2 linked regions of the Arabidopsis thaliana genome follow. The protein of the gene in region 2 binds, or shares a complex with, the protein of the main gene of each other region. Each region holds a gene or a part of one and is shown on either strand. Other genes may lie near its edges.

Evidence for each region. Proteins that work in one complex are often made in the same cells at the same time.
Region 1: SPT16 (region 2) and HMG share a complex: the UniProt entries of both Arabidopsis thaliana proteins name them as parts of the FACT complex.

What each region holds. Positions count from the first base shown.
Region 1 is NC_003074.8:10,783,140-10,789,229, reverse strand, and holds HMG (high mobility group), read right to left. Parts: upstream 4,343-6,090; 5' UTR 4,277-4,342; coding exon 4,223-4,276; intron 3,937-4,222; coding exon 3,751-3,936; intron 3,675-3,750; coding exon 3,569-3,674; intron 3,479-3,568; coding exon 3,342-3,478; intron 3,264-3,341; coding exon 3,180-3,263; intron 3,099-3,179; coding exon 3,004-3,098; intron 2,917-3,003; coding exon 2,808-2,916; intron 2,673-2,807; coding exon 2,586-2,672; intron 2,488-2,585; coding exon 2,395-2,487; intron 2,316-2,394; coding exon 2,118-2,315; intron 2,031-2,117; coding exon 1,885-2,030; intron 1,795-1,884; coding exon 1,647-1,794; intron 1,567-1,646; coding exon 1,459-1,566; intron 1,378-1,458; coding exon 1,195-1,377; intron 1,037-1,194; coding exon 958-1,036; intron 860-957; coding exon 732-859; 3' UTR 501-731; downstream 1-500. Other genes in the region: CYP81D11 (Cytochrome P450 superfamily protein), read left to right, coding at 1-466; AT3G28720 (uncharacterized protein), read right to left, coding at 4,891-6,090. UniProt on the Arabidopsis thaliana protein: Component of the FACT complex, a general chromatin factor that acts to reorganize nucleosomes. The FACT complex is involved in multiple processes that require DNA as a template such as mRNA elongation, DNA replication and DNA repair.
Region 2 is NC_003075.7:6,600,983-6,608,609, forward strand, and holds SPT16 (global transcription factor C), read right to left. Parts: upstream 5,376-7,627; 5' UTR 5,221-5,375; intron 5,015-5,220; exon of another isoform or gene 4,494-5,014; 5' UTR 4,469-4,493; coding exon 1,244-4,468; 3' UTR 921-1,243; downstream 1-920. Other genes in the region: AT4G10720 (Ankyrin repeat family protein), read left to right, coding at 6,897-7,209, 7,352-7,627. UniProt on the Arabidopsis thaliana protein: Component of the FACT complex, a general chromatin factor that acts to reorganize nucleosomes. The FACT complex is involved in multiple processes that require DNA as a template such as mRNA elongation, DNA replication and DNA repair.

The sequences.
Region 1 (6,090 bases), on a different chromosome or scaffold from region 2:
ACTTCCTTACCTTCAGCACATTGTGTCAGAGACTTTACGGCTTTATCCGGTGGCTCCAATGCTTTTACCCCACTTAGCATCAGAAGATTGTATAGTTGATGGCTATGACGTTCCACGCGGCACAATCATCTTGGTGAATGCATGGGCCATCCATAGAGATCCAAAGTTATGGGAAGAGCCAGAAAAATTTAAGCCGGAGAGGTTTGAGAAAAAAGGAGAGGATAAAAAGTTGATGCCATTTGGGATTGGACGACGATCTTGCCCTGGTTCAGGGCTAGCTCAACGGCTAGTGACTTTGGCTCTTGGATCATTGGTCCAATGTTTTGAGTGGGAGAGGGTTGAAGAAAAGTATCTAGACATGAGAGAAAGTGAAAAAGGAACCACAATGCGAAAAGCTACATCGTTGCAAGCTATGTGTAAAGCTCGTCCCATTGTCCATAAGGTTTTAGATGCTTCTTGTCCATAACTTTCATCATACAGAACCTCTTGTATAACAATTTCGATAGAAACACGATCTGTTTTGTTGCTTCTTAGCTATGGCCTTACCAGAGTACTCTATATTTTGAGGTAAAGACAGGCTCTTCTTTTCTAGGAAGTAACACAAGATCTTTAAGGTCAAAGAGAAAAATCTGGTTAACTCCAAACAACTAAAGGTCCAACGTTTACTACATGCCATAACTTAGTATTGTAGGTAAATGAGATACTAGTAGAGAATGTTGGAGAATCAAAGTTTAGTTACTATCGGAATCGTTTCCTGAGTCCACATTCATCGGCTGAGGGTTCTTGTAATCACTGATCTCATCCTTGTATCGCTGCTTGTCGACTTGAGCCTTGGCTTCATATGGCTCTTTATCATCAGCTATACATACACACGGTTGGGGAATTAAAACACATTCACATGATAAAGTAAAACCAAGTAATGTATTTACTTTTGAAAAGGATCTTCAAATTTTTTACCAGACATTTGACGCCACTTATCTCCAAGCACCTTTCCCACCTCTCCAAATGCTATTCCTGGGTGTTCCTTCTTTATGTTCTGTTCAGTTCACAAATGGAAAATGACATAATCAGGAATGTGCTAAGTTTGTCTGTTAATTGTTTGCTCTCATGTATGTAATAGACCGAGGATACTCCATTTCGCAACTTAGCCTACATCATAGAGGTAAAAGTAAAAGAAAGGAGAGAAGAACTCACATCTCTTTCCATTTGGGAAAAGAACATGAAACCAGACATTGCTCTTTTTGGTGCGTTGGGATCCTTCTTCTTCTTCGGCTTCTTCCTCTTACTACTGCCTTCGTCTGCGGCTACAGTTTTCCTCTTAGGAGGCAATCCTTTCGATGACGAAGCCTCTTTCTTAGGTTCCTTCTTGATAGATTTCTATAACAAGTCAATGACAGGAAGATATGAGAAACAAATACTGCTGCTGAAAGAGTTCGAATGAATGCGACAAAAGTTTACCTCTTTTATCTCTCCTACACCGCCTTCACTAGCATCAGAGTCGTCCCCGCCAGAATCATCAGTTGGTGAACCACCATCATCATCCTCACCCATAACAAAGTCTTCGTCCTTCATAAATTAAAAGTCTCGATTATCAAACACATGATCATTAGAATATGAAGTAATTCGGTCAGACATAAAGTACTTGCCTCCTCATCACTCTCATCAGCAGCTTGGTTTCTGATACGCGTAAGATGAGGGTCAACAGCATCATCATCATCATTATCCCCAAGAACAGCAGCAACACCGTCTGCGGTACCCGCACCTCCAAGGTTCATAATCTTCAAACCCTTAGAGCTGCAGCAAGAAAACATAAGGAATATTCACCACAAATCTTAAATGCACTCAGTAAATATAGACGGAGACAATGAAATAATCCGCGCTAACCTTATGAAGGTATAGAGATTGTGATACTCATTTCTTTGAATGTTACGGAACAGATGTTCATGGTCAGTTTTCAGTCTTATGAGAAGATCAAAGTAATGCATGTTAGCACCACCAGCAGCATGCCTTTCAAACTCGACATAGTCAATCTAAAAACGAAAAAAAAACAGGTTAGAAAACCCAACTCTATCTCAAAGCCTATAAAAAATCTCCAATCCTTAATAACCATAATTTACCTCATCGTGAAGTATAAGCGTTGGAGGTTTAGGTAAGAAGAAAAATCCCTTCTCGAGTGGATAAAGAACCCCATCTTCTGCCTTGAGAGACGATTTCACTGCAAACCCATCTTGGGAACTGCGGAACTTCCCAGGTTTAGTGATCTTTGCACCAGACAGCCAACGCAACACGGTGGTGAATACTTCATGAATGAGACCCTGAAAATTCATACAATTCAGCGTATGTATAAATTTTTTTATTCAGGAACAATAATGTAAGTGCAGACCAGACAGAAACCTTATATGATCGCTCCAGCTTGTCCTTGAACTTTGTATTCATAAGTTCATCACTAATTGACAGTTCACTTTCGACAACGGTGTCTGTTTCAAACTGGAGAAGATGCAAAAACAGTTATGTAAATCAGAGTAAAAAAACGAAAATTATACATAGAAAATTGAAATGGAAGGAAAAATGTAAGTAATGTTTACCTGCATAACAATGTGGGGGTACATTGTCTGACCTTTCCGGATTGGTGGGTCTAGAGAGATAACAACAAACGTGTGTGGTTGGTTTGACTGCTCAGGCATATAAAAAAAAATACGAACTCAATTAATGTGAACACGATTCAGTGATCATAATACGATAATCCCTTTAATCTGATGACTGCTAACATAGGTAACTGCCCTGAGATATGCTTAAAAAAGAATTACCTTTGGAAGCAAGAACAAACGGACAACGCTACTGTACTGGATTTTAAAGTCATTAGCTTGTCCTTGCAATCGTAAGAAAGAAAGGTGAAGTTCCACATTGTACCGACCCCTGTGATAGAAACAACCAAATCATTTAGTCATGACAAGATGAAGCCATACAATAGTGCAACAAATGTTTAAGTAATCAACTCTTTACCTGGGTGTGAGGATTGCAATACTCTCAAATGTGACGACCGCATCCTCAACTCCAGGACTAACATCAGCCATTGCAACGATTGTGTCATTGAAAACCTGAGACATTCTTTTAGCATCAACAGAAAAAAATATATACTTGAGGCACATACATATAATGAAAATAGTTTGGGAACTCACTTGAGAAGGTGGACGGTTTTCATCACCAACAAACTGAGTGTTGGAATTAGGAATATGAAAACTAATCTCCATCAGCGAGTCTTTCTGTAAACACGTAGAATATAAATCAGTAAATGTACATACATAACAGCCTAGAGATTACATATCAAAAGAAACCAGTACCTCATTAGCACCAGCAGTATCATCAACATGAAACTCCAAAGTAACATCATTTTTCCCTTGAAGCTGAGTCTGTGAAACATCAGCTAAAGATACTTCAAAAGCTTGTTTTGATCCAACCAAAAAGGTTAGTGTATTCCCTACACAAAGAAACAAAAAATTCTCCCTTTAGATCCACAAATGAAACTAGACAACCACAAGTAAAGCCTAAAAGCTATAAGAACTCTCACCGTGTAAATCCACCTCTCCCCAATTACGACCACTAACTGATAATTGCTTCTCATCCGGTGTTTTTCCATAAGAACTTTGGAAAAAGCTAGACAGACTTGGAACATCCTACAAAACAAAGGAATCAGAACAAGCACAAACATTACAATATCAAATCAAATAAAAAAGATATACACACACAAACCTGATCTCGAAATCCAACGAACTTGTAGTACAATCCATCTTTGGTTTTGACTCCCAATTGATTACTCTTTGTCACTTTCGTCCAACTAACACTTACAATATCAGATCTATCAACTTCCACAGCTTTTCCACCACCTTGTTTCTTCCATTGAATTCCTCCAGAATTGATTTTAAGTAAACCCGGGTTCTAAAAAACCAAAATTGAAACCCTAATTAGCCTTAAGAAAACCCTAAAAACTACCGCAGCTTTAACAATTGTAAACAAGAAAACAACACAACTGAAAAATGAAAGCGACAATCTTTTTTTTAACCCTAAATTTGACTCATTGAGTTCTTTAAGAATCGAGCGGCGGAAGCAAAAGGGGATACAGAGAAAGGAGATTAGGGTTTTCGAAGGAAGAGGAAAAGGTGAAAACTTTGAAGGAATTGAAAGATCTTGAGAGATAGAAGGAGACAGAGAGAGAAGATGGTACCTTTCCACCGCGACCGCTGAGAGAGATATTATTGAAGGAGTGGCCGTCCGCCATGGTTTTCTGTTGAGAGACACGAGAGAGACGAGAAAGCGAGAGCGAAAGAGAGAGAGTGATTTTTTTTTTTCCAAACTATGATATCAACTTTTATACATAGACACTCAGGCGGTTTAATTTTGGGAAGAAAACCAATTTTCGAAAATTAGATTTTCCGGTTTAATTGAATTTTTGAGTTTTTGGTTTTGCAGATTTGGGAAAAAGACCTTTATCAAAAAACGGTAAAAACAGAAGGTTGTTTTGAGTTTTGGATTTTTTCACATTTGGAAAAGAAACCTCTTATAAAACAGAATTTTATATCAATTATGTAGGCATGCGGGTTCGGTTTACCAAACCGGTTACTTCGGTTTTGTTTGGCTTTGGTTAGGAGGGGAAAACCGGTCTAAGGGTATGGAGAAGTGATTATTGAAGGAGACAATAGGAATGTGATGGAGCTATTCAAAATAAATAGACAACCAAACAGAGGATCCGAGCATTGTCTCTATTGTTCAACATTACCAAATGGAAACAAGCTCATAATAGTAGTACATGTTGTATTAACCTCAAAAACCAAACTATCAAAGTCTTTTTATCCAATGTAATGACTATAAATTACCCTGCATTGCTAGAATTCTTCAGAACTGTTTTCGTTTGTTCCTAAAGAGTCTATCTCTTTTCGAGAACACGTAACCAACAGCCATTAACCCGAATCCCGACACTGAAACAGTTCCCCATGGGAACGGTGGATCTTTGAAACAGTTGAGACTCGCTTCTACCCGTTGTGACGCGAGGTACACTACTGAATGCACTGAGTACAAGTCGTGTGAAGCTGATCTTAAGTAGAACAAAGCCATCTCGAACTCATTGTGTGATAGAGCAGAAACCGTTTTATCCAGCTTGTACTGCATAAGATTCCACCTTTGCATGAACTCAGAGTGGCGATTCTGTTTCCGTAGGATCACATCTCCTCCATATGCAACCGCGGAATCGATAACATCGATTGCACTTGTGATAGTTGTGTTCAAAGATGTCAAAATCACGTTTCTCTTAGCAGCATCTTTCTGAACAAACGATAGAGACGAGATATCAGAGAATGGTCCAAACGGTGTTTGCCCAATGCTCCATGTATAATCAACTAGAGTTGTGTTATGTCTCGGGCTCCATGTCAAATGAGTAGAAGATACACCCCACATACTCTGCAGAATGGAACCAACGAGAGGTCGTTCTAAGTCTCTCGTATGAACAAACACATGACGCCCGTTGCAAGTATAATCACTAACCGTTTGAGTTCCTCTAGTTCTAACAGCAATCACCATATCTCTAAAAGCAACAGACTGATGATACCGATCAAGCAACAAAGGCGTATTGATATCCAAATCAAACACATAAACAGGTAAAACCCTAGCAAACTCATTTCCTTCTTCTTCAACAATCCCCGCAACTCTCCTCAACTCCTCAGCCGAATCAGTCAACGCCCGATGCATATGCTTAGAATCCAAATACTCACTCACAATCAAAGTATAGTTATCAAACAAAAACCTAGAAGTATACGAATTCATCCCACGAGATACCGCAAACGAACAAATCGAACATTCTCTATAATTCACACTATAACTCTTAAAACTCAACTTCTGTTCACCTAACAACAACCCACCACTCTCAGCTTCATCCATAAACGTTCTCTTCACAAACTCCAAATCTAACCCACTCGAATCCTTAACCTCTGACCCATACACATGAATAAACTGAACCACCAACGTATCCTCAAAGTACACAGGGATTCTCAAAGAAGGAACAATCAAAACCTGATAAGCATTATACACCAACGAAGCCAA
Region 2 (7,627 bases):
GGTATGCCGGAACAAACTTGAAATGAATTGGTTAACGTTGAGGTGGTTCAAAAAATTGAGATGAATATCTAAAATATAATTTCTCGATTTTATATATCGTTATTACTAGTTAGTATGAGGGTATTGACTATTGAGAGCTAGAGAGAAAGAAAAGATAATTAACTCTCAAGATAAGTTTTGTTATCCGATCATTCATTTCGCTTTATACGGAAAACAAAAGAAAGACTGTAAAAGAGTTATATTTTTTGAAATAATATTCTAATAGAAGCAAAAATCATGACCTAATTTTTTTGTTGATAAAACTGTTAAAGACGTCATTTAGGGACCAAAGTTCGAAATCCTGTCCAGCCCGATCATAACCATGATACACACCATGATGTGGTATTGGCAATATTTCATCACATTCTATTCAATTAAATAAGTTTGATTAGTAAGAGACCAAAGAAAGAAGACGTGTTGCATGAGACATGAGCATGACCGATTAATAAACAATTGAATTGTACACTTTTAGTGACATTTCTATCTAAGATTTGCTAAATTTTGACAGTGTGCATGGACGGCTAAGCCAAGGGAGCAATGTATTGGGTATCTCATATATGGACATATACAAGATATAAACTCAAGTGTAACTATTGTGGTCATCTTCCATGAGAGAAAAGATGACGATGAGGTCGTTCCTGTTTAGTGCAGCTACCACGTTCAACGTCGGATTCCTGGGGCACGACCGAGTTAAGGTTGTTCAGAACAAAGATCACATTACTTAATTTACTTTAGTGGTCCGAAGATCAGAGGAGTTTGCTAGAGAGCTACAAGAGCTCTGGAAGAGTTCTTCTTGCTAAATCAAGTATGTAGCTAAATTACTACCAGTTGATGTAAAAAGAGTGATTGTTATAATTACAAAAATTTGAAAGATTTTAAGATTAATATGGTATTTTCTGCCAATTTTTTTTTTATCCAAGTCAAAACGACAAGTTGTGTGATTTTTCTTTAAGACTAATGAGAACCAACCTAACACCACAATGGGACATTATTTTCCTAGGGCATATAATTGATAAAATTATCTTAAGTAGTTTTCATATGATACAAAGGACTGATAAAAAAACCGATAACAAAACGCTAGTTTTTGTTTGCCAACAAACCAAGGGAAAAAAACTAATTTTAAACCTGCGAAAGTAAATGTCTGACTTTCGTTTCATCTCTAATGAGAACAATGATAAGCAGAATTCGAACTTTTTGAGTTTCTTCACCTGTGCTTGCGTTTAGATGGTGGCATGTTCTTCATGCTGCTACTACCACCTCCACCGCTAGTTCCAGGTCGCGATTTCCCAAACGCTTTCATCTTTCTTCTCTTCCTCTCTTCCTCGCTATCAGACTCAACTCCATGCTCTCTGTCTGCATTAGTAGCTTCTCTCTCCAGTTCATCCCAAGTCTTACCTTTCTCTTCCTCTGACTCTTGCTCTGAGTCCTCTTCTTCATCATCGTCTGACTCCACCAGTGACTCACTCTCTGAAGCCTCGTCCTCTGACTCAGACTCAACCTCTACATCTGATGGTTCATATCCTTTGTCTGACTCCTCAGACCCGCCAGATTCTGAATCGCTTCCGTCCAGGTTCAGAAACTCCCATCCTCCATCATCTATAAAGCTCTGCGGATCATCTGTGATCGTCTTTAGGATCTGTCTCCAGTTCAGATTCAGTTTGCTCTCGTAGTACTTTATATCTGTGGTGTCTAGCCACTCCTTTATCCCCTCTAGGGAGCTTGTGGGAACTGAGTCAACCCTGAGAACATCTTTTTTGAAGTCCTTGAAGATGATGGCCATGTCAAAGTTCTTCTGCCCAAACCCAACTCTCTCAAGATTCACAATCTCAATCTCACTCAGACTCACCACGAGGAACGGGTATTCTATCAGCTCAACTAAGCAGCTGGAGGTCGGTATTATGAATGCAGATGTCTTGTGCGGAACACCATGGAAACCAAGCTCTCTCAGAGGTTGATCAAACTCAAGGTCCAGACTTGCAAACTGTGGTAGTTGCCACATATCATTCACCCGGTTTGCAAAATGATTGAAATCCATGTTGATCTTGTTCTTCCTATCGCGCTCCCTCTGTTCTTCGTCAATCTCATCTGGATCATAGGCTGATCTCCTCCCACCACCTAAAGACTGCACAACATCCATTACCTCCACATAGAATTGAACGTCCTTTGTCTTCTTAGTTCCTACCATGATGTGGTTGTGCAAATGAAAATGAAGGAGGGTGATCATCTCCTTCTCAGCAGGCTGGAAAAACGCATGCTTTATGTTTGCAAACAGGACATCCACGCGCTCGTCAGGCCTGGTAGTTGAATACCTGAAACCATTTGCATGAGCTTCGAGTGTCCCAGGAATCTTCTTGCGCCCACTAAAAGGCGGACGGATCCACAGCTCGGACAACCTGAGGGGTTTGAACTTGTTCCCTGCAAGCTGAAGTTTCTCTTGGGTCACCAATGTCGCCCTTTCAGCTCTCTCTGACTCCCTGGCCATGACTTGCCGTCTAAGGGTCTTAATCTGTTGAGTTACTTCGCTGCTATGCCTTGAATCCTTGGTCCGGAATGAAACCTCCTTGAGGTAGATAGCACCCTGGTTTTTCAAAGAGTTTGAGTCATGAGGGTTGAAGGGTGTACCCGGGACATTGAAAATGATACGGATGTAGCAGTTTCGGTTGGTATCTTGATTGCCTGACACTGTTCTTATTGTAGCCACATGGAATGGAACCAAGCTCCCATAGATGGGTAACAATACAGCCTCGTTTCTCGTATCAACCTGGATCATCAATTCCTTATGGGGCATGTCGTTAACATTCTTGTAGGCAACCACATCAGCTGAAGTCTTTGCAGTAGACCGGCTGTCTCCCGCCCCAGAACTGTCACCAGCAAGCCTTCTGGCAGTTTCTTCATTTTTCTGGCGTGCCAGCTCTGCCTGGTGCTGCTTCCGTAGCTCTTCTTTAGACACCACATGATCATCTGATCTAAGAGCTGTCTTGGTAATGTAGTTCTCAGAACCACTGGTCCTAGCTTTCTTGCGCGGTTTCTCTTCTTCTTCATCCTCTTTAAAGGAGTAAGCCACATCCTTAACAGATTTAGAGCACTTGGTTAAAAGCTCCGGTTTCTGATCTGTGACGAGAACTGTGTCAGCTAGCAAAAGTGAGAATTTCTTGTTCTTGCTGCGGCTTTCTGACTCACATTCCAAGTTCTGGAAACCAAGAGACACATTAAATGCCATCTTCGGTCTCAATACTTTATCATTCTTTGCATTTATATTTAATCCTGACTCTCGGAATTCCAGACCGATACCAGTCCCAGCAGATTTAGTTAGCTTGTCAACGAACTCAGGGGCATTCTTTTCAACAACAGAAAGGGCAGCTTGATAGACAGTGTTTATCTTTCTTCCTGACCTCAAAGCATCAATAGCAGCCTCATGTGCCTTGAGAAGAACCTCATATGCCTTGCTCTGGAGAGAAGTTGCATCTATTAGGTAGGTCCTGGCAACATTTGAGCAATAACTATTATACCTAGCACCAACAGCACATATTATGATACTCGCTGGATCATAAGTGAGCAGTTCATCATTGCTTGCAGCACTTGGTTTGAGATCAAACTTGCCTCCGCTTTGAAATATCGGAGGGTAGCATATGTCAACATTCTCTGGCTTCAGTTTCACACTGGCCTTAGTTGGCTCAAGTATCGCTTTCTCAGTGAGATCCATCAGGGCAGAGTGGGTGACGTCTTTCTCCTCATCAATGGCACTCTCAAGATTTGGAACAACAACATTTTTCATCACACTGTAGGCTAGATACGCAGCTTTCTTCACACTCATGACCTCAGTATCGTCTTTAACAGCAAATAGATCAGACAGCCCCCCAGTTATATCTACGAACTGGAAGTTTGCATTCTTTAGCCTCTCAGTCCATGTCTCCAGAAGCTTACCTTCAGGGGCTTCACGAGCAATGTGTCCAACAACTTGTGAATCATTTCCATCACCCCGGGATAGATCACGGATGGCACGAAATATGGCATCCATCAGCCCTGTTCCATCATCACCCTTAGGCTTAACATGCATGATAACATCAAGCTTCAACTCATCATGTGCAGGTTTTTTCACAACTTCAAGTAGAGAAGCCTTGTTCCTACTACACAGGAAATGGATCTGCTTCTTGGTAAAAACCATAATTGTATCTGGAAACTCATACCCAAGAAGCCAAATATTCAACGCTGAAGATTTCAGGTAACGCAGATCATCAGAAGCAGGAGGGGTAGCAATGGCAAGAGCGTCGGCAGATCCCCATAAGTCTGCACTGTGCTTCTTCCAGTGTTCATACAATGCTCTTGCACGTGAGATAAAGTTTTTAACATCTATGGAATAAGTATTCCCAGCTTTTGGAGGCACTCCACTAGGAGGGGCTCGGGCATTACCATTCCGAGAGTCTGCCATCTAAAGAGTCCAGCAGCAACCTATACTGCGAAGAAAAAGTAAAATAATACTCAGAAACAAGAAAGTTTTACATAAACGAGACAGAGAGAGATTCACAAGCCTAAAGCTTTCACTAATCAGGAAAAAAACAAAAGACTAATCTTTTTATCAAAAATTGAAAAGACCAACAAAACCTTATCTCGTGAATGCCAAATAAAGTTCAACAGTTTTTAAACAACGTCAATCTCCAAATGCGCAGGACATAATCATATACATATAGGTATTGGCAACAAAAACGTGAAAATGAGAACTAATATCGCAAAACATTAGACTCTATATATATCAAAAACGTGAAACAATGTCGAGAGATATAAACTTAACGAATCCAAATTGAAATCTAGGGTTTCATAGCCTTCAAAATAGGTCAAAATTTGCAGTAAATTACACCAAATTTCAGACCCAGAAAGAAAAATTAGGGTAAGGAAAAAAAAAACCACTTCGAAATAGAATCAATAAAATCTCAAAATTAAAGCAAAGACGCGAACGGAAGCTTCGCACGGCGAAACCCTAGAAATGGAAGAACAAGAAAAAACAAAAATCAATTACTTGTCTAACGCAGCGAAATCAAAATGGATCGAGTTAAGAACATGATTTTAAACGAAGAATCAAATCGAAGAACACGAAAACGAGATTTAAACAAGTTGAATCGTAGATTAAAAACAGTGAGAAATCGAAAAAGGGGGAAGAACAGAAAAATCAAGCGAAGAGTTTACCCAGATGGTTAACGGAGGAAAATAACAAGGTAGCTTTACACAAAGGCGGTTTTGGCCGCGAAACAAGAAGAAAAACAAACTCCGGCGAGGCTCTCTTCGAGAGAGAATGGGGAGAGAGTAAGCGAAAGTTACCAAAGAATGGTTTTTCTACCAAGGCATTTCCTGAGAGTGGAACATACTTTTATTCTGATGATGGTGGGCTTCGCTTACTGTTAAACACCGATTTGTATTGGGCTTAACATAGTGACTAATAAAGGCCCATGTACTATATTTTTGTTTTGCCGGTGGCCCATTTACTATATCGTTGTCGATTTTGTTATATATGAATGATAAAAAATAAACAGCAACCGAGCTAATTGAACCAGAAGACCAAACCAAGTTTATCTCGAAATTAGACCGAAACTTGTTTACAACTCGATTGGTTTAAAACTCAAGAGAAATTAAACCGATTTTTAGTGTGACAATACATTATACATGCATGGATATGTGATCTCAAATTTGTGCTTTAGTTTTAAGATTTGAGAGAGAGAGTTTTCAACTTTTGACCTTTGGCTATAACTACAAAATTATCTTTGTAAATGTAGTTTACAGTATATAATGATGAGGTACATAACCATATTATAAAGTTAATGAAGTAAATGATTATCACTTTTTTTATTTGCAAAATCACTTAATTGGGAAGTGATTTCTCAAAAAAAGAAAAAATGCTATGTTATTAAATAAATGATGAATCATTACATTTTATGTTTGTTTTATACTATATATCTAAGTATATACTCTTACCAAAAAAAAAATTAGTATATAATGATTTATCTTATATGCGGTTTAGAATTGTTTGAAGCTAGATCAATGTACGCTTAATGCCTAACACTGTTTCAGAGCGATATCGCCATATGGTTGATCCTGTTTCAATACCTGTAATTCAAAAAACAACACATTTCAGCTAAGAGGCAATGCAGAGATAGAAAAATAAAGGAACAATCCCTATTGAGGAACAATTACCAATGTCGAAAACATTCGAGCAGCTAATTTCCTTGTCTTTCCAGCCAATATCTTGCTCAAACTTAGATCTCCAATGCTCTACAATGTTCAAAGAATGTTACACGTTAGTAGAGAAACAATAAGCTCTCAAAGCTAGCTACGTACATGGTTTTTGGAATCTTTATTTACCTTGTTCTCTTTGGCAAAGCATCAGAAATTATGGGAGCTTTCATCATTTTCTCTTGTTGTCATTATACCGGCGACTACTCCAATGGCTCCAGCATGCCAATGACTTTGCTTGTGTCGTATTGGAACATGTCGAATTCTCGACTTTCTTATCATTTATATCTTTGCTGATTATTTTGATATGATCAAACGACGACGTTTTAGTGATATGATTACTCTCATGTTGTGAATTCTGATTTTCACAATGTGTTGGGTTGGTAGGATTTATATTCTCTTAAATTAATGTATCAAGTTCTACTTAAATTTGTAGTATCCCTAGAGAAGACTTTTTTTTTGTAGTCTCTTTCTCTGAGTTCATCTAGTGTTTGTCTTCTATTGGCTTAAACAAATGATTGGTCAAGTCAACATCAAATACTTGTTCAAACGATGACATTATATTCTATAAGTAAATGTAAAGTTTTTATTTCTTGAAGAAAAACAAAGACTTGTTTCTTCTTGTTCTTGATATAATGGATCCAAGATTGATCGTAGCTACTCAAATCGGAAGCATCGATGAATTGTATGCTCATATCCATGAGAATCCATACATTCTTGAAATCATTGATGCAATACCTTTCATCAACACTCCTCTCCATATAGCTTCTGCTTCTGGTAACCTTTCTTTTGCCATGGAGCTGATGAATCTTAAGCCGTCTTTCGCGAGAAAACTTAACACATACGGGTTAAGTCCATTGCATCTTGCTATAGAGGAAGGTCAAACACGGTTGGTTCTAAGTTTACTCAAGGTTGATTCTGACCTTGTTCGCCTTCGAGGAAGAGAAGGTAATATATTTTTCATTTTCTACTACTATGACATCATATAGCTAGTTTATTAGACCAACCAAGTTGTGTATTGTTTTCTTGAAATTGTTTGATCTTTTGTTATTACTATAAATGGTTGAAATAGTTTGATTTCGAATACAAGGTATGACGCCGTTTCATCAAGTAGTAAGAAGAGGAGAAACTGATCTTATGACAGAGTTCCTCTTAGCTTGTCCTGGTTGCATTAAAGATGCAAACGTGAACGGTGAAACCGCTCTACACATCGCGGTTTCAAACGATAGATACGAAGAGCTTGAAGTACTCTTGGGATGGGTACAAAGACTTCGTCAAACAGACGCTGAATCGTTAGAGATGCAGTTTTTGAACAAACGTGATCAAGACGGTAACACAGCCTTACACATAGCAGCATATCAGAACA